2 linked regions of the Oreochromis niloticus genome follow. The protein of the gene in region 2 purifies or fractionates together with the protein of the main gene of each other region. This does not show direct contact. Links are inferred from orthologs where the notes say so. Each region holds a gene or a part of one and is shown on either strand. Other genes may lie near its edges.

What was found. The genes of interacting proteins can lie anywhere in the genome.
Region 1: the proteins of retreg1 (region 2) and map1lc3a purify together in Homo sapiens (affinity purification with western blotting; 3 studies listed by BioGRID and IntAct, with this or other methods). This does not show direct contact. The link is inferred for Oreochromis niloticus from reciprocal best matches to the Homo sapiens genes RETREG1 and MAP1LC3A.

Annotation. Positions count from the first base shown.
Region 1 is NC_031970.2:3,292,202-3,302,536, forward strand, and holds the start of map1lc3a (microtubule-associated protein 1 light chain 3 alpha), read right to left. Parts: upstream 4,169-10,335; 5' UTR 4,029-4,168; coding exon 3,989-4,028; intron 3,923-3,988; exon of another isoform or gene 2,744-3,922; intron 1,085-2,743; coding exon 1,029-1,084; intron 555-1,028; exon of another isoform or gene 498-554; intron 19-497; coding exon 1-18. Other genes in the region: dynlrb1 (dynein light chain roadblock-type 1), read right to left, coding at 6,654-6,697, 6,834-7,001, 8,276-8,351, 8,663-8,665. UniProt on the Homo sapiens protein: Ubiquitin-like modifier involved in formation of autophagosomal vacuoles (autophagosomes). While LC3s are involved in elongation of the phagophore membrane, the GABARAP/GATE-16 subfamily is essential for a later stage in autophagosome maturation.
Region 2 is NC_031982.2:31,490,020-31,500,499, reverse strand, and holds the start of retreg1 (reticulophagy regulator 1), read left to right. Parts: upstream 1-5,505; 5' UTR 5,506-5,572; coding exon 5,573-5,757; intron 5,758-6,689; coding exon 6,690-6,838; intron 6,839-9,287; coding exon 9,288-9,318; intron 9,319-10,480. Other genes in the region: E3 ubiquitin-protein ligase RNF182, read right to left, coding at 579-1,442. UniProt on the Homo sapiens protein: Endoplasmic reticulum (ER)-anchored autophagy regulator which mediates ER delivery into lysosomes through sequestration into autophagosomes.

The DNA.
Region 1 (10,335 bases), on a different chromosome or scaffold from region 2:
ATACCGTTCAATGATCACCTGCAGGCACAAAGCACACAGACGAGTGTCACTAAGACAAAGACTCTGCCCTACAAACATAGACTGTATACAAAAGATGCACACAGCCACCATGAAGTTTGTGGTTGGTTTAACTTCTGCTCTGTAGGCTTGATTTTAGCATTTTAGCTGATGCCATGTTCTTTAAAACTACAAGTGGCCATATTTGAACTGAACCTCAGACTTCTTGGATGATTTGTTGGAGCGATTACCCGCACAGCCATGAGTGTGAGCGTCTCGGACATTTTAACATGTTCTTTCTAATGGCCAGCAGAGGGCGACTCCCCTGTTTGCAAAAAGTCTGATTGTATAAAAGTCTATGAGGGAAAACATCCCTGAGCTTCCTCTCTCTGTGACCTCAGTAAACTGTCTCGGTGAGTTCGTGTGTCGCGCTTGCTAGCCTCAAGTCTGTCAAAATAAAACACGATGTTTTGTAAACAACAGTTGCACTTTGCTTCCAGACAGTTAAGATGGAAAACACTCTGCTTTGAAGTTTCTGAAATAGGACTCAACAACAGGTGAGATGATGTTAATGATGCCCATCTTTTATGTACAGTCTGTGGTTGAAACCTGATTTTCTGGCTTTTTTCCTGCTGTATGGAAATATAACAGCACACAAATGTGTAACTACACAGGGAGTCAGTGAGCTGTAAGACTTTGAGGTAATTATTTAAAGTCACATCTGAAATTTTAGCTCACAAAGACAAAATTAACAAAACTCTATGTTAGATTAAAACCTGTTCTGGGAAATATGATCTAGAGCTTTATATATAATCTCTGACTGGAAGACATTCTTAGTACAAGGTCAACTGTGGACCAAAGCATCACATCGATCCCTCTGAACTGGAGACTGGTTTGATTTGCTGCTTTCAGACACTCCAACCTCTGCTTCCTGCACTCTGGTAACCTCCGGTTCATCCCAGTGGAATCATCTTTATTCCCACTAACAAAGCTCAGTGAAGTGTGGTGTGATTAGGTGTGAAGCAGCTTACGGGGATCTTGTTGGGGTGCTGCTCACGGATCTGCTGGACCTCTTTGCACCGGTCAGCTGTGGACAAAAGACACAAATGGTCACAAAAACAGAAAGTTCATTTCTTGTTCGGTCGAAAGAGGAACCATCCTCGTTCTTATTTTGAAAGTCCAGCCAATGACAACCAGCTAACTCTGACTTCATGTCTGCTTCCCTACAGTGAGGCTGGACAGGTGGATGATGTCTCGAGTCCTGTAATCAGACAGACTCCAGCTCCACCCGCTGGTGACAGGAGCCATCCGTCACCTCTGTAGGGTCAGTTTAACCAGAACCTGCTTAATGTGCTGCTGCGCTGAGCTCACCAAGGATGCTGTGGCCATGATGGTGACTTCACCAGTGGGGCAGCTGGTTACCGCTCAGTATGAGCTTTTATGAAGGGCGATCGTGGCCGTTCGTCTTGTAATCGGAAGGTTGCCGGTTCGAGCCCCAGCTCCGACAGTCTTGGTCGTTGTGTCCTTGGGCAAGACGCTTCACCCGTTGCCTACTGGTGGTGGTCAGAGGGCCCGGTGGCGCCAGTGTCCGGCAGCCTCGCCTCTGTCAGTGCGCCCCAGGGCAGCTGTGGCTATTGTAACGTTTCATTTCTGGTGTGATGTGTGATTGCATACAGAGATCACGGAGCTGTTTAGTGCAGTGCAGAGATCCATTCACCCACACAGCTGCAACAATTAGTCAGTGAACTACACAGTCAACTGACTGAATGATCATTTTAGTCACTTTTCAGCTAAAGATTGGTTAAAGCTTCTTAAAAGTGATGAAAAAAAATGACATGATAGTAAACTAGGTGTAGTCAGAGAGGATCTGTTTAACGACGTGGCTAATTAACATCAGTCTCTTTGTGTATTTCCCCCTCTTCTTCCACACTAAGTCTTTTCTCTTTTCGAGGCAGAGCTCTGAAGTTTGCATCTCTTCACAGCTTTGCATATCATTATTATGTTAAACGTCTCCTTTAATCCTCCGCAGGCTTCCTTTCAGTACCCATTTAAGCTTTGCAATGTTTTTTTCTTTTTTCTTTTTACTGCCTCACTATCTAATTTTACAGCATGCTGCCCTCTCTGAACCTCCTACTGGCCTATTTCAGAAAAACTGCTTTTCCTTTTTCAAATACTGGTCGGGTTCAAAGCTCAGGTGGCTCAGAGCAGCAGCAGCTGAGTGTGAATGGCTCCTTTGTTTCAGTGTGGAGGTGTTTATTGGGAGCCAGCTACAGTCCTGCTCCAGGTTCTGCAAGAACACCTGTCTTCAGTTTGAATCTAAATATTCAGAAATATTCGTCCTCACTGGGCTCCTGGAGAGAGTCACACCTCCCACTTCTAAGATCAGGCTTCACATTTTCCTTTCTGATAAGCTTTATGAGGTTAGGGCTGGAGCAGGTGACCCTGAACCATCTGTCTGCTCGTCACAGCCTTGATTATACTTTTCACATCCACGAGGACACAAGTGAAAGAAATTTTGCTATCAGACGGTGATTGTTGATTTTTTTTGTGATCGTGAAGACTTGTCCACAGAGAATTTGCATTACAATGCACCAACTACCATGCACCCCAGGCAGCGGCACAACAGGAATGATTACTCAGCCGTTGTGCTTCCAGCCGTCTGTGTCGGCAACTGAATACAACCAAGGCTGAAGTCTGTCTTTATTAATCACGTCTTCTTCTTTCTTCGTCTACCATCAAATTTCAGGAAGAAGATGCTGAAACAATGATCCATCCTTTTTTTTATGGCTAGCAGAGGGCGACTAATCTGGTTGGAGATTTGAAGAGGTTCATGGGAAAACGGCCCCTCAGTAAACTCTTTCCTGTTGATAGGCTCAATCCAAACAAGATGGCGACGGGGCACACGCTCAGCTCAGGGCTTCATAACAGGATTTATGATGGTGCAGTCGCTACGCCCGTCTTCACTAATGTTTACACTGAAATCTTAGTCGTCCGAGAGCGACTTTTTAATGAAGCGTTTAAATATTTGCTGTGTGAGTCTTTTGAAAACATTGTTGTATCTGCTGCAATAAACAGACGACTGGCTGTTTTCTCTTCTGTGGTTTGTTTTGCCCTCCTTCAAAAGGTGGAGGCAGATGGCTGCTTGTCCCTGACAATGGCATCTTCCCATTAAATGGGTGTTCATTCTCCCCACCGTCGTCAAGTGCAGTTCACAGGAGATCATCTGATTGTTGGGGTTCTGGGGGTGTTTACCCTAACATGAACTGGTGCTATATGAATAAAAGTGAACTGGAAAGCGTATTATAGTAACTCCAAGTGTGGTAAACATGTCCCCTGTTGTGTAACTCGTCTGTAATGTGTGTCAGTGTGACACAATGCAAACAGCTGCTAAACAAACAGCACGCACAGGTCTACAAGAGCGGCTGAAAGCAGGTTATAAGCACAGAGCAGAAGGCGGTGAATGCAGCGTTTCTTGCATCTCTGCTGCTTCTCTGTAAATGGAAAGATTATGCAACGAGCCCGACTCCGGGCTCCTCCCTGCCCGGCTCTGGGGGGCTGTCTCTCGACCTCATATTTCAACATAAATCGCTGAACACGTGTATTGGGATAATGTGTCAGCACATGTTGTTTTTCCTTTCAGCAAACACAGATCAGTGAGATGATCCGGCCGTGTAAACGGAGGCCTAGCTGGCTGCGAGCTAGCCGGACAGTGACCCAGATGGCCCTTTAACACCTCTCGGCCCGGAGGATGCTGCCTCACACAGTAAAAACGGGATTTTCACCTTTGATTCGCCACTAAAAGAAATACTCTGTTAGCCTACCTACCCTGGCTCCCGGACACTTGTAGCAGTTACAGTAACCCAGCACCGACACCGTTTGTCTGCACTCTAAATACAAAGAGCTGAGCTAGGCGGCTAACGGGCTAGCAGCTCAGCGGCTGTTTGCAGGCACTTAAGCCAGGTAAATAACACCTTCCCCGGGGCTTTCTTACCAAATGTCCTCCTTTGTTTGAAGGGTCTGTCGGACGGCATCTCGGTCCCGGTTATTAATCTGTTATACACTAATGAATAACGCAATCGTTACAGCAAGCAGCGCAGGTCCGTCTCTTCGGTTCGAGTCTCTGGTTCGTCTGAAGCCAAAACAGCTCCGGACAAACAAAGACAGTAAACCGAGCCTCTGACGTCACCCGCTGCATTTAAAGGGGCCGTGCATCGATCCCTGAACCCAGAGAGCAGCTTTACATTCACGTTAACAGAAGTGCAAAGTTTAACCAGTTATACACCCAAGCCCGTGATTCACACGGTGATTCAGAGTTTAACAGACACAGCAGCGTCTTCATTTTGTACTGAGAGGAAATGATGAAAGGTTCGTGAATCAGCTGTAATGTCAGGCTGTGTTTTGCTTCAGCAGGGGCGTTCCTAGGTTTGTTTTAAATGAACTGGTACAAGGTGGGGGATGGGGTGTCCCAGTGAACTCTGATGGTTTTGTTTGTGTTCATAGACATTTTCTCTGTACTTTTCATCAGCTGTGTTGATTTTATCCATTTTTCTCCTTCTATGATCATTTTGTGTATCATCTTCCATGTTTTGATTATGAATATTTTGTGTTCATTTGCTGTTATTTTTGGATGTTTTTACTTTGTTTGTACTTTCTGCCTTTGTTGACTGTTTATAAAGACAGGAAGGCAAAACTGAGTGTTATTGGGAGAATTAACGAGATATGAGCTGTAGTGGAATGTAATACGAGTACTTTACTAAAGTTTTAATGTAAAACCCCAATTTAAAAAAAATTAAATTGAATAAAATGTAAATTTGAAATAACGAATGCAATCATTTGCAGATCTCATAAACTCATATTTTATTCGCCCATGGGAGATGGGCAATGAAAGGCTGGAAAAGTGAGCAGTGCTAAAAACACAGCTGGAGGAACATTTAGCATGTCTGTGATTCACTGGCAACAGATAAGTAATATGTTTGGGAATACAAATAAAAACTGTGGAACATTTTCAGAATGTTGTTTCTAATTTAAACACTGAATATCTCCTGATCTACAATAAATGATATCCCCGAATGATTCTGAGAATCTGGAGAAATCTTTTTGTGTAAGGAACAAGCCTCAGAACATTTTCTCAATTAAACCATCTGACATGTTTTCTATGTTCTATTGTACAGAAAAATGGGTTTATTAGATCTGCAAATGATTGCATTTTACAGTTTCCCAGATTTTCTGGAACTGAGGTCACGGTTGAAGTAAAAATATTTGTATTATGTTGCTTTTGACTTTTCTTCTGTTATATTTTAGACGCAAATATTTTACTTTGTACTGTGTACAGAACTCCCAGCAGTGTGTAAGAAACGAATCTTGCAGCTGAAGATGATTTTTAAGCGATGCACAAAAGAATGAAACGACCATGAAATGTGAAAATGATTGCTTTTAGCAGACGCATCAGCTGAAACCTACCAGCTGACTCTGCAGTTCTTCTCTGCAGTGATCTGTCAGAGACACTATGACTGAAACATGGCCCTCAGAGTCCTGAAATCAAATCTTTGGCAGAACTACAGCAGCAGACTTTTAACTTCCAGACGTTGAAAAAAAGCTTTTTTAAACTCTCGTTTTGAGGTGCATCAAAGCATTTTTAAACCAGATGTAATTACTGACTCTACACATGCAGTCATGTCCTGTTATTTTCAATAATGAGTCAAAATTAGTGTCCCTCCTACGTCGTAACCCTAACATCAAGCATCATTCAGCAGCTGCTTTTCTGCTGGGTTGTTTTTGGATGTTTTTCCTTGAGGTGACATGCTGACCTCTTTTTATCTCCTGAATGTGTAACCAAGCAACTGGATGATAGTTCAAGTAGTTTTATCTGCTTCCTCCTTTTTACCAGAACACTCAAGTTAAGCACTCTTAGCCGCTGATAGATGCATGAGTCTCTTATTAAACAAGAAAAAAACAAAAAACAACAACAACAACAAAAACCAGTAACAAGACAAAGACACGGGACCGTTTTCAATTTTTGTATTTCAGAATTGTTACAAATGAACAGAAACTTGACGCGAGAGCAGGGACGTGTTTGTAGTGTCGCTCTCTGCTCACAGGTGAAATACTGCTCCTTAACATTTTTAACCATCAAAACAATAAATAACAATCTGCAGTTTTCCTTTAAGGTGGGCCAAATAAAACAAAGCACGTCCTTTGTTCTGCCTCGTATACTGGACCTCTGCAGACCAGCGTGCTCTGCTCCAGTCATATGTCTGCGACTTCACTGCTCACTCGTGTTTCGGCGTGCACGTCTGGCTGCTTGCTACACATGAAATAAACAGTGACATGAGGTACGCGCACGCGCGCGCACACACACACACACACACACACACACACACACACACGCGCGCGCGCGCACACACACACACACACACACACACAGAGGAGTTGGAATGCTAAAACATGGGAAAAAAACAACCCAAAAAACCTCCTGCAGGCTGACTGACCGTCCTCGGGGTCACACATCTCCACCTTCACATCCTGACCTTACAACATTACTTCCCGTGAAAAAGCTTCTGCTAAACACAATTTTTGATTTAACGAGAAAAAGAAAATGGGCCGTTTAAATGAGAGTGATAAAGAGAGCGAACAGCCAGATGTCAGCTCCTTCATCTTCAATCTGATGGATTCTGGATGACGATGAGGAAAAAGTCTTTATCTGTGAAGAAAAAGGCAAAAAAAAAAAAAAAACAACTTCAGGAACGAAACCATCTTAAATGTTCATATCCAGCCGTTTTGGCCAGGAAATAATCCGAATAATGGGCATTTTAATATTTCCCATCAGATGCTCTCACCTGGAGCGATCATGATCTCGTTCTTCTTGGAGCGCACGCGCATGAAGGTGAGGTCGTTCTGGGGGTCGATGTCTCGGATGGTGCTCCTGGCCTTCATCACCAGCTGGTGGATCAGCCCGGCATACTGCACCGTGCTCGAGTTGTCCAGAGTCGACTTGATGGGGATTCCTGAAGGGAAAACACCCAGTAACCACATCACACCTTATTTTACTGGTTCTCTGCTGCTGAAACTGAAGCGTGACAGTAAAATAGATTTCAATTACTCAAAAAAAAAAAAAAAAAGTAATTAAAAATGGGACGAAGAAGGAAAATAGTTTTGTCTTCAGTAGCATTTTGTCCTGTCAGGTTACAGCTAAATTATTTAAATTCACAATTTGATGGGATTCCAGCTTTATTATGTACCAAGGAAAATGTAAGTGTGGTACATTAAAGGAACAGGGCTCAATGAAACCCAGCAGACCAAAACAAAAACATCAATAACAAATACATTTAACAGAGTGAAAAAAGCACATGTGAAAGTTTATATATGAAACAAGCATTCCTGATTTTTATGGAATTATCACAGCTTGAAGGATTGTTTTCCACGAATGACAGTTATGTTTTCTTTATAAACTAAATGTTGTTTAACTTGTTATTGATCAGGTAGTGAAACAATGATCAATATGTGGAAGATTTTTTTTGTATTTAATTAGAGAAAAGATTTAAGTCATTCGTAAACATGAGTGAATGCTGCTGTAGCACTAAGGATGCTTTGTTTCTTTCCTCACTTCTGTTTTCATGTGTTTGTATAAACTGATCACGAATCGCCTTCCTACACATGGCAGTGTGCGGCGTTTTAGCTTACAGCTGTGAGATTGCTCCTTTTTTATCTCTACAGCCTACATGTGTTTGCTCAGCACCACCCAGTCATGTGACAGCACAACAACAAAACACAATGAGGCAGAGAGGAGGAGGAAGAGGAGGAGCAGGAGGACTGTGTTTGTAAAGGGATGTCTACTTTTTGAGGAAACACACTGAAAGTAAAGCATCAAGTATCACGATCTGACACTGACACTGGTACCGATATTATCAATATTATGATCGATCCAGCCGGGTTTTCAGCGTTCCAGGGTCAGTCGGCTGTTTCAGGAGTAACAGGAGGGGAGGAGCCAGAGATAACACCTGCAGGGAGCAGGTTAGACAGGCTCACAGGGTCTGTTACCATGGTAAACGATTAGGGAAGGGTCACAGTGTCTGTTATCATGGTAACCGACTATCGGGAAAAATAAACCCTAAAATTTGCCTCAGTTTGAACAAACCCGGAGTTTATTAAACATGTGTTCTGGATCAGACCCCGGAGGACTTATAGCTGCAAAACACACAGTGGCAGTCATAATTAGAAACACGCAAAGAGCGGAAAGGTCTATAAAAGAGGAGGGAAAACGACATCATTGTCGTCTCACCCTCTGAATTGGCGACGATGATTCCCTGAACTCCTTTCTGGCCCTGAATCCTCTTCAGAGTTTCTTCTACTTCAGCCTGAGGGACGGAGACAACAGTGAGAACTCAGTCATTTCATGTGAGCTGATAAACGGATTTAAATCATTTAACACCGCAACAAACACAGAATTCAAATAATCTCCCAGTGAGCGCGTTTAAAGGTAACACAAAGGGGGAAAAGGTTACAAATAAAGCTGCAGTCGTCTGCTGAACTGACAACGCCCGACTAGCAAAAGCAAGCTAGCTTTAGTTAGCAATTTATTAAATTCCGTCCTGTGTAAATTACAGTGTGATGGCCAAATATGTAAACGGTTTCAATAGATACTTATCAAACTGTCCTCTTATCCTACCATTTTCGTTTTTTGTGTACAAATTCGTGCCAAAAAACCCTCTCAAAGCTCTGTAAACTAGCAGCCAGCACTCCGGTTTTGTTGACGGCAGGCGAAGAAGAAGAACCTCCGGGGCAACTGCTACGTTTACTGTCCAAACCGAAGAGTCGGACTTCTCATACATATGTTTCACCGGCTCTTTTATTCCTTTTCGCCTTGATAAATTCCAATTTTAAGTCCTGGTTTTTCTTTGTCATATAAAAATAACATTAAACAAGTGGGACGGTCTGCATCGTTACCATAAAAAAATCACACTGTTTAGTCACTTCGGTTAAAAACATAACATGGGATTTCAAAGATCCGGGGTTTCCCAGGTCAGATAAAGCCGTAAAGTCACGCGGTTCTCATGATATAGAACATCAATTCAAATCTTCTGTAAGCATAACTCTGGTTAAGAAATACAGACAAGATAAAGCCTCTAAATCAAAATCATAATATATCATAATACAATAAAACAACAGAATACCTGTGATAATAAACTAACGAAACTAAAACGCATTCACAGTGCAGAAATTGTCCCGCGTGAGTGACATGTTACTAATTTATTTCTAATTAATTAACTAATAGTTAACCGTACTGTAGTTCAGTGGTAAAAGAGGCGAAACATTGGTTATAGAATTGTACTGTACTCATATTTTTTTTCTCACTTATTTTCATTAATTTAATCTCAGAGCGTCAGATTCGGTAAAGTTTAAACAGCAGATGATTACGTTTAATAAATAAATAATAAACATTAATAATATAGCATATTTACTGCATATACAGTATTTTAGAAAGCTTTATAAACATGGGCTTAAAATGTATTAACTGATAAAGTAAAACTTGCACTTTAGTTTTTAATGTGGTAAAAATTACATATTCTTATCCCTTTAAAATGTCGTGCAGTTCAACAAAAAAGCATAATCTAGTAGGAAAACTCTGGACATTTTTATTCCGTTTTATTCTATTTTATTTATTTATTTCTGAATGGTTTGCATATCATTGGTGGGCGCGGCCACCCTGTTTACAAAATGACAACGTTAAGTGAGACGTGAGCAGCCAAGACTGGACCGGAAGCTTACAGACGGACCCCTCAAAGTAAAACCAACAGGAACGCGATGGACGAAAGTTTTAGTAGAAAATGAGAAATTGAACTTTAAAAAGGCTTTTTGAGACCTTTGGAGCAAAGTCATCAAACACTTTAAGCATTTTCAACAGATTTGACTGGTGTTGTTATTCATGCCTTTATATAAGACAGCAGATCAGTGTTATTTTAAAACTAAATAAATAAATAATGATAGATGTGGAAAACATTTTTATAACCAAAAACGATTTTGTGAAGTATGCCCTCCATACAATAAAAACATCAAAGTTTAAAAGTGACACTGGAGCCAATAAAACGGAACTAAAACTAAACATTTTAAACAATAAAAACTAAATTGAAACAATGAAATTTAACTGAAACTAAACCGACTTTAAAGAAAAGTCAAAACAGAATAAAAAACACTGAAATTATGAAAATAAACACCTCTAATAAATCCGGCTGTAGTTCATACACTGAGCGCATACCTCACAGGAAATGTGACACACTGTATCCCACACAGAAGCTTTTCTCTTTGAAAACTGTAACCGGAAGTTGTGATATATTGTTACCG
Region 2 (10,480 bases):
TGAAAGTAATCCCAATCAGCCAAAAGTTCAGGCTGATCTAAATACTCTGTCAGTTTTATTTTTAATCTTCACTCTGCATGATGACAGGATAGCTCTAATATGATCATCTCAGGTACACAGCTCTGGCTGTGACCACAGGAGCTGCACCCACCTTTGGTTCAAACCTTATGTTTGCCACTCATGCCACTCAGAAGAAAGCTGGCTGCTTAATACCTAACCTGATGTATCAGGGAATAGTTAAAGAGGACACCTTGTATGTAAATCAGCCACACCAATGTGGAGATGAGAACAGTCTATACATTCCTTTAGATTTTGAACTATAACGTCATAATGCATTAAATTAAACAGATTCCTTCAGAAGTAGTGTTTTAGTCAAAGCTATCTGACATTTTGAGCTTTATTAGGTAAGTGATTATCAGCCTAAAAATTGCACAAATTAAGATGTATGAGCTCCACTTTTATGCCATTCAAATAACAGTTCACATGGTTAGCTAGACAGTAACATCCCCATTAGTCAATTCTGGAGATCTATTGTGAAGCATGTTCAAAGCAAAGCATTGCCTGTTCATTTGGTTGCATTATGATGGTAAGCAGTCCCAGAACTCATGGCAGATACACTGGCAGAACCCATAGACCATGATCACGATGAGGCTGGCAGGAACCAGGCTCACCAGAAGCACCCCGAGTGTTGTCCTCTGCATTATGAGCAGGTAAACCCCCATAGGCAGGGAGCTAAAGTACAAGAGCCCCAGAACCCATACCAATGCCCGGGCTGAAGTCTGGCACAGGAGGGCTGCACAGTTCCACACCGTCCACCTCTCTGCGATGGATGCCATAGAGTCCAGACTGGATGAGTGGTAGTCCTGGTTTGACAGGTGAGAGCCATGTATCTGCTGGTAGGCATGGATGTCTTGGGTGGATATGGATGCTGGCGGAGGCTCCATGATAGTAATGACCACAAAATTAGGGGAGCTGCGGATGGTGGAGTAAGGGGTAGAGGAAGATGTGGAGGAGGAAGTAGATATCACAGGTGAATTGCTGCTCATCAGTGAGCTCAGGCGCATGGGGCTTAGGAGCAGTTCTGTAGTTGCCTCCTGGTGGAACTGACGGTTTCTCTGATTCCTGTTTTGGAGGGCCAGCTTTGCCACCAGGTTGGAATCATCCGACAGGTTGCTCACAGCTTCTCCCGGCAGTCTGGTGAGATAGCGACAAAACGGACACACCAAGGCATTGGGAGGCGACTCACCCAAGTCCAGGATCTTAATGAGACATTTGGAGCAGAGACGGTGGCAGCACTCAAGCACCTTAGGCCTTCGACTCCCCAGGTTGTAGGCGCAGTAGCAGATCTTACACTCCATCTCTTCAGTGCACAGCATGTCCACAAAGCCAGAACCTCCAACACCACCACCACTATCCTCGGGGTTTTGCATCTCTAGCATCATCCTGTGTTAAAACTTTATCCAACTCTAAGATCAAACGCAAAATCCAACCAAAAGCTCAAGTCCAAGCTCAGCACCAGCACTTTTCCCATAGATGGAGACACTGATGAAGGTCCTCTTCACTGAAGATCTAGGCTTCATTGCAGCTGTCTCCTAAAATGTGTGTGTGTGTCTGTGTTTCAATGTGAAGCGAGAAGAGAGACATGCGAGAAGGTGAAGCCCCTCGCAGGATTCGGCCTCTGGCGGTTGCTTGCCTCCAAGCAGTTGGGTTGACCGTGCTTCATTTGGAGTAAAAAGCCTTTCATGAGCTGCACAAAAAGGGGGGAGAAGGGTGAGAGACACTGAGAGAAAGACCTAAAGAGAGAGAGAGTGAGAGACAGAGAGAGGGAGGGAGACACATAACTGTTAACACAGCAAACAGAGGCGAAAGGACAACAAAGCAGAGCCTGTACAAACCAGAGCTGGAATTTTCGAGTCTGATCTTTTGTTGCTCCATGAAATTCAGCCCAATTAGTGACTGATGCACACACACACACACACACACACACACACACACACACACACACACACACACACACACATACACACACTACTGTATTCATGACTTCAGTGCACATTGCAGTGACTTACCTTCATTTCCTGAACACTTGCTGTAGACTTAACCACTAGTTGCCTACACACATCCCAACCTAATCCCAAATCATGTCCTCACCTTTAATAATTTACATAGCATGGATTAAATTTTTGCCTCTGTGAGGAAGACACACCCTCATAATGTGGCATTGTAAACACACAGCATAGATAAAACCCAGGTAACACACACAAACAGACAACAACTGCAGCTCCCTGTTAATGGTCTGCAAAAATAAGTGTGCATGAAAGGTTGAATGAGTTTCTATTTAAATAACTTTATCTGTGTTGTGCAGCACTTTGGTCAGCCATAGTGCTATATAAATAAACTATGGTATGGTATGGTGTGTGTGTTTGTGAGCATGGGTGTAAATATGCAAAATTATGTGCCCAAGTAAAAACACAAATGTGTTTTTTCATCCATCCCTACAGAAATGCCTGGTACTTCTCTAAACAGGTAGTCCAAGGAGCTTGGAAAGAAAAGTGTCTGGACTTCTTTAGGTTGCTTGAAGACGTTTCATCTCTCATCCAAGAAGCTTCTCAGATGAGAGGTGTCTAAGGAGCTTGGAAAGATCCGAGAAGCTTCTCGGATCTTTCCAAGCTCCTTAGACTACGATGACCTGGATGACTGGGAACCTTCACAGACTCTAAACAGGTAAATAACTTCTATCTTTATGAGTGTCACCATGTGTTTAATGACACTCCTGTCTCAGAAACAAAGATCCTGTGGAGGTGGGGGTGGATGATGGGTCCTGTTTCACATCTAGTAGATGACATGGTTTTATCTTTTTTAATCAATAAAGACACAAATCTTTCACAATCCTTTTAGCACTACCTAAATCTACACACATCTGTGACAAAAGCATTGGCTCAGATGTGTAATATGTAATACCATGCATAATGTTACGAAATGAGAACCTGTGTTTTCATTTAGTATTTCCTGTATTAGTGTCCAGTTATCAGGTTAGATGGGTGCAGATGGTTGTTTCAGCTATACGTTTTTGCATGAAATCTTATGGATTTGAAACAACAAAGAAAAGAGAAATGTCTTACCGTGAAAGACACCTATGATTTGAGACCAGGCCCGCTGATGCGAATATGTGTCACAATTGGTGAACTGGTGTGGACTGAAGGAGTGGACCCAGCAGTGGAAAGTGGAGCAGGTCATTGTTGGAGATCCCGGTTTGGCAGTGAGCTCTGATCTTGATTTACGGCCAGAACAGCACAGGCAGCAGAGCAAAATGGGTCAACGTCTCTTTGTAGATGTGAGCTTTCCTCGTTAAGATGGGCTCATTCTAACTCCATCGAGTGTGGTAGCCCAGCCTGCCATCTCTCACGCAGTGCCATTTAGCCGTTGTTCTGTTTGCCACTTTAATTATTAAACTAAGAAAACTAATGATAAGTGCCCATTAAAAGTCACAATCGCCTCACACAATAATTTCAAAGACTGCAACTAAACGGGTTTTGTGGTTTCTGGACTGGATTTACCCTGAAATGGCAAACTGGCACATGCAAAGGGAAAAGTTTGTCACAAAGATTACGGAAACTTTGATCTTGGTCATTATAATAAGTACAGTACTGTGCAAAAGTCTTGAGCCAATTCATGTATCAGGTCTTTGCTGGATTTTTTCCTGTTTTTTAAGGACATGACTTTGAGATACTCTTCATCTGCTGTAGATATTTATTTTTTAGACTTGGCATTTCTTTTTTGTGCTCCCCTGATCCATTCCTTTAAATTTTTTAATGACACACTGCACACCATGTTGAGAATCACTTTTCAGAAACACTTTTGTTGGTGCAATAATATAATGTTATGTCTGTCAAACTGTGTTATCTTTGGGATTTTCTGCAGAATCAGCTGAAGAAACAAATTATATGGTTCTGTAACAAGCTGATGATACAAAGCTTGGTGTCTGAAGGTACAACTTCATCCCCTGAGTGAGATGGATGTTTTTGTAAGTTCAGTTTGCAGTTTAGTTTGCAAAAAAAAAAGATGCATTTCTTTGAAATTGTCAGGCACAAGGATGATGGAAGGAATGAAAAAGGCTCCAATGTAAAAAACAAAACAACCTGGTCTGTAGCTTTTGACAGCTCTGAAGCGCTTGCAACATTTTGTACCTCAGTGTTAAAATATAATATGTTTTTTGTTTTGTTTTTTCTTTTACTTAAAGCTGCGTCCATCTCACCTCTGGGTCTACAGCAGCTTAGAATCTCAGCTAGCCAAACATGTTCGTTGATCTGTGGGAAGAAACTCAAACACAGGCTGTCCAGTAACAATAACATGAATCACTTGTAGTGACATTTGTCTTATTTCTGTACTGTTTTATTGCACAGTGTTTATTAAAGTTCATTTTAAAGCTGGACTAAGTGATTTTTACCACTAGTGGGCAGAAAAACAAGCATGACCCACCAAGCTGTTCAAGCTTATTTCTTAGAAACCAGGCATGTTTAAAGTTTGGGCATAAACAGATCTGTTCCCTCCCTTTAGATTCATAGTATGGGTCTCTGATGAATGCTGAAGTTAAATATTGACTTTCTCTTTCTCTTTCAGGATGGGTGGAGACCAGCATCAAGCAGCTATTCTTCAGTCTTTTAACTTTGTCTGCTGAGAAACATCTGATTCCATTGTACTTAAAGAAGTTAACGTAGGTGTAGTTACATATACAGTATATAGTAGTAATTCCGTCTTTTACACGCACAGGCAATATAATGATAACAATAAAGCACAAACAAAAGACGTTACACTCCAATAAATGTACACACACACTAACACACAAACACACACACCTGACGTCACCAACCTGAACCACAACAACACAAGAGGCAGGAATGGAAGTGTGCAGCTGATTTAAGTTGAGACAATTATACAGGAAGCATGATGATTTGGTCTTTCAAAATAAAGGGAGAAAAAAACACATGCCAAAAAGAAATGCAGATAATTTTAATGATTGCTTAATTACAGGTATAAGAATGTAGAACCTAGGTTTCCAAATATAAAGTTACCACCCTTTGGTTAAAATAAGAAAAATTAATACAAATGATAGAAAATTGTTGTACATTTCTTTCTTTTAATTTCACCCCTTCTGTGCACTGTTCAAGAGCAGGACTACCTTTACTCAAACACATCACTTAAGCACAATTTTGAGTTACTTGTATTTTCATTTATACTTCTTTAAAAAATAACTTTCATGCTACTTTTTAATTGGTAATCATATGTTTTGTTACAGCATTTGTTTCACTTGTGTATCTTTGCTCTGTGAATAATAATGTAAACTACATATTCGTGATATAAAAAGTAATTTAATAAGACTGTATGATTTAAACGCATTAGTTTTCATTGCAAAAAGAACATTTAGACTATTTTCAAAAAGTGAATGCTTTATGAGACACTTATTTTGAAACCTCAGAACCGGACATAGCTCAGTAAAGTCTCCGCTTTACTTCACTCCCATCTCTGCTGAAGGAGCGGAGGGGCAGAGCGGAGGGACCCCGGTCGTTTTTCAATGCTGGGGAGCTGGGAAGCAGGAACCGCCGGAGGTGGGCAGGTGGCCGCGGCCGGCGGACCGCCAAGCCGGGATCAGGAGACCCTTCCCGGCCGCGCAGGGTGTCGCCTCACCGGCCTGGTCAGCTGGAGGCGGAGACCATGCAGGACTTCAGCCCTGTTTGCTGCAGCCAACGCGATGTTCGGGTAGGCATCATGACGCAGGGATATCTCACAGCACTGAGCTCCTGTTAATCAAAGAAAAATTAATTATGACTTTAAGTTAAATTTTGAATATACTGTTAAAAAAAACATGACATCCTAGTAATTCCACATTAAAGGCGTAATTATTTCATCTTTAGTCCTTTCTTTCTATTATATCTTTAAATCCTTTGATGTTGTTACTTTTAAATTCATCTGTACTTCGCACACAAATAATAATAATAATAATGATGACGATCTTTAAAAAGGGGTTGTAAATACTCTGCTACAACTGTTTTCTGTATTTTTCTTATATTTTCGGTGTGTTTGACGTCAGTAATATCTGTATCAGGGACATTGTCAAAACAAACCGCTACCACCATGAACAAACAAAAAAAAAATCATAATAATTTGGGACTTCCTGAGATGAAATTCGTCCAGGTTTTGTTTGTTTGTCTTAAAAAACATTTAAAACCCCAAATAGTGTTCATTTAATTTTGTTTGTATAAGTTGTATTTTTATATATTCCGGTATTGCTATACTGCTGCAGTGCTTCTGCTTAATGCACTGAAAGAGGATAGATAGATAGATTGCTGTTATAAAGTGTTTCTTACACAGATCTGTTATAATTTTGCATCCTGATTTTTTGAGTAAGGGAAGCAGAAAAGCACAAAATTGTGCCACAGGGTCATAATAGCCAAAGAATATGAGAATATTTTAGCTCCACAATAGATGGTGAGGTTTTTTTTTTAACATCCACTAATGTAAAATTATATATCCAAAAATGAAAATATAAAGCTTTATCATCTTGTATAAAACGCTGCAGTACAAAAATAAACATTGATCTGCTAAAACTTCCACAGAGTTAAACCGTGGAGAGCATCACAACAACCTGAGTGAGCTGCTGTGAGTCAAACTTTTGTTCTGTTTCCCTGCAGGTTTGTGGCCTTTGGCTCGTTTCGGGCCTACACCCTCCTAGCTGTCCTCCTGGCCCTGCTGGTCATCACGGTCACCACCCGAGATGTAATTCGGTCCAGATCCGCAGGTAACCCCCAAATGATCAGCCGATTAAAGAGAAGAATAACTAGTAAGGAACTGCCTTGCCTTAATCTCATAACTCTGGATCTTCAGTTATAACTTCCCCAAAACACATTTAAATACAAATACTGACACCGATCAAAGACCAACTGATACTAAAGTGTTTGTCAAAGTGCACAAGGTGTGTAAAGGTACTTTAAAAAGTTGCTTGAAATCAGTTTAAAAACTTTTAAGTGATGACTTTGTGTCCCAGGAGTCTGTGTATTATGTGACAGAGACATCAAGTGATGCTGAAATAGGGCCAGGCTGCACTCTTGTGTAATATCACTGTGAACCAAAAGCTGGTGCAGGGCGTCAGCGTCGCATCCAGAGTTTGAGAAAATGGACAGATTATTGTCAGGACCACTTTTGCTGCAGATGTAGTAATAGCATAATAATGTATGCGGGGCCTTTGTGGGAGTAACCAACCCCTGATAATTAAAAAGAAGACAGACACTGAGATTAGAAGATGTAAAAAAATAAAAATACCCTAATTATAGAAAATAATGAATGATCTATTACAACCAAGACTGTAAAGGTGGAACCCAAGTACAGGGCAAAACCAAATAATTTTTACTAATCAGAGATCTTAATAGTGTGTAAAGGAGGTTGAAGCTGGTTTTAGTGGGATAAGAGTGTAAGAAGCTGAGGTAGTCAGAGGGAGAAGCAGACTGACGGGCAGCTGGGTGATGTTCCTGAAGAAGAAAAAATGGAGAAAGCTTTGTGATAAGAAATATTAGAACAGATTTGCTACAATTAAGTTCTAATTTGGTGTTATTACTGAGGTAGAAACTGCATTGTGGCGAGGAATGGTTGGAGAAAACGTTAACACGGTGGAGATGATGGAAAGCAGATGAACAGGTTGGGTGAGGCTGATTGTTGGCAGGTGTGCAGGATGAGCAGAGCTGGGAGCCAGGTATAAGGGAGACCTCGCCCACACCCATCCACAACAAAAACACAGACAGACAGACAAACAAGGGGGGAGGGCACCAAACAAACACAAGACAGAGAAAAAAGGAAGCACCAGGGAGTGTTTAAGGGGAGGATTGTGATGTGGCTGTAGCACAAACCTATAAACTAACAGGACTGTTGACAAGAATATAAAACATTTGCAAAAAGACGCATCGAATGAATGAGGAGCTCTGATTTTCTTTTAAAGCTGTCAGAGAATGGAGGAAGCTTCCTGAACACCTGAAAACTAGCATACATTTCTACTCTTTTTCCCCCTGATGTTATAGAGAGGCTTTTATATATTATTTAGATGTATTTGATATTTATGAGAGAGGGTGATGGATATATGGGATGTGGATACTGTCTGTGGTTTTGAAATAACTGGTAAATGTTTGGTCTATTATGTTGAATTGTCAACAGCATTTTTATTACTATAATTTATTTATTGACGATGTCTTTTTATATATTTCTATTGCAGGGACTGCGGATAAAAAATAGCTAACAGCTAAATCTGATACAGTGGATCTTTTTTATTAGTAGATTAATGTTTTTTTCCATCCCTGACAAATAAAGAGGAAAATTAAAATGAAATAAATAAGCCATTCAGGTTAAACCCAAGATGTTCCCTCACCAGAGTTATAAATGGCTGCTTTGAAACCAACCAAATCTATTTGGTTCGGATGTTTACGTGATTGCAGCTTCATCCTGGCTCATTAGCCCGATGAGTAAGGATGAGACATCATCTTTCATGGCGGATAGTGACTCATCAGCCTGACTGTTGCTCACAATTACACTTTAAACACATTGGACTCCTGATGTCAGCAGTTATTTAAGTTTAATGTTATCAGTATAGTTTTCTCTTTGTAGAAAACTTTCATTATCATTACCTAACACTTCTATTAAAGAAATCTGTTTTTGCATACTTCACGTCATTAAGTATAATTTCATAGCATCACAGTAATCATTAGCACTATATCAACACGCAATAAAAGCATTATATCCCATTAACCTGTGGTTGGAAACATGAAAAGGGACTTTGTTAAGCATTTATTTCATCTACAAATTATGTTTCTTTTAACATTATTTTATTACATGGTTGTTATATTACATTAGTGCCCAATCATAGCTTGTGGTAACTACATTACAGTTTGCTCCAGCCATTTTTTCATTGTTTCCATCCATTCATTTTCTACCACCTATCCGGGTTTAGGGGATATTCTTACTGTCACCACCAACAGCTCGATAGGTGAGGGCAGGAATGTAGATCATCCAATAAATCAATAGCTAAGCCTTCAGGCTCAGCTCTCTCTTTGCCACAGTTCACCGGGACATCACCATCCGTCTGCCAGCTGCCTGCTTTTTATTGGTACTGATGTTAGTAAACTGCTACAGCTGACAGATATCAAGAAAATAACTAAAATGTAACAAAGAAACTTTTTTACTGTTTCTGTAGTGGGTGTGAGCGCGTGAGTGCTGATGAATAACACATCTGGGTTTTTTTTTCACAGGAGCTCAGTTATGGCACAGCATGACAACAAGGTAAGACATTTAAGTGCAGGTGATTGTGATGTGCAGGTTTGTTAATGTTGTTTGTTTGGTGAAAATTACAATGGGAGTGTTTGGATTTTAAAACATATCAGAGACGCAGGGCTACTCTGAAGGAAGAAATCTTCATATTGGTGAAGATGCTAATGCGGTATTCATTGTTTCCTGAACCTGAAGGCATCCATAGGACAGTGAAGTCAATTTAAACAACGAAATTAAGAACAAACATATCTGCATCAAGCTTCTGCTCAGATCTGATCTTAGATGCTGATTTAAACGATGTCTGACACAACTTGTTTTTCACAAACTGAAAGGTGAAGAGGATCCTGGCTGAAAAACAAAAAGTTGGTCAGCTTAAATTGTTGATATCACATGAAGGAAAGTTTAATTGGATGTTTGTGACTCCTGAAATCAAGTTGATGTAATCAGCTTCAGTAATCAGATGTCTCACTCTGTTGTTCAACTGCAGAAAGAATCGACTCGCAGCAGTGTGGTGCCGTTACACAGTGGAGCTTCATGAATCACCTCTAGCTATGATCTCTTTTTGAGTTTGGACATATGCACAATATTATGCCAGAAACTGAATTTTAACTAAAACTGAACCTGTAATGCTTGTAGCACCAAGAAATAAATAAATAAGAAATAAATAAACTCCCAAAATCCAAAACATTTACCAAACAGAGCCAGGGAATATAAATACCAGGGATAACTAGGAATGTAATTCTTAGGGAACACACAGCAACGAGACATAACAATGTAGGCGATGTGACAAAGGACAAAGGGACGACTGAGACAGTACAGACAGCTAATGAGGCAAATGAAAAAAGGTGGAGAACACAGTTGAAGAAAACATAACAAGAGAGAACAACAAATACCAAAATAAAACAGGAAGTAACAGAATGGGGAAACAAGATTGTTATTGTCTTTCTTTGTCTCGTGACAAGTTAAAGAGATTAGACTGGAACAGAATAGGGAACAAAAGGGAACTAAATACAAAATACAACTGAAAATTTGCAGTTGTAAACATAAGTGAATAAAAACTCTATTAATAGTAAACTAAACACTTACAAAAAATAGGAAACAAAGCTCATAGTGGATTCTCAAAAACAAAAATTAAATTCACCTTTATTCATATGGTGCTAATTTACAACAAACG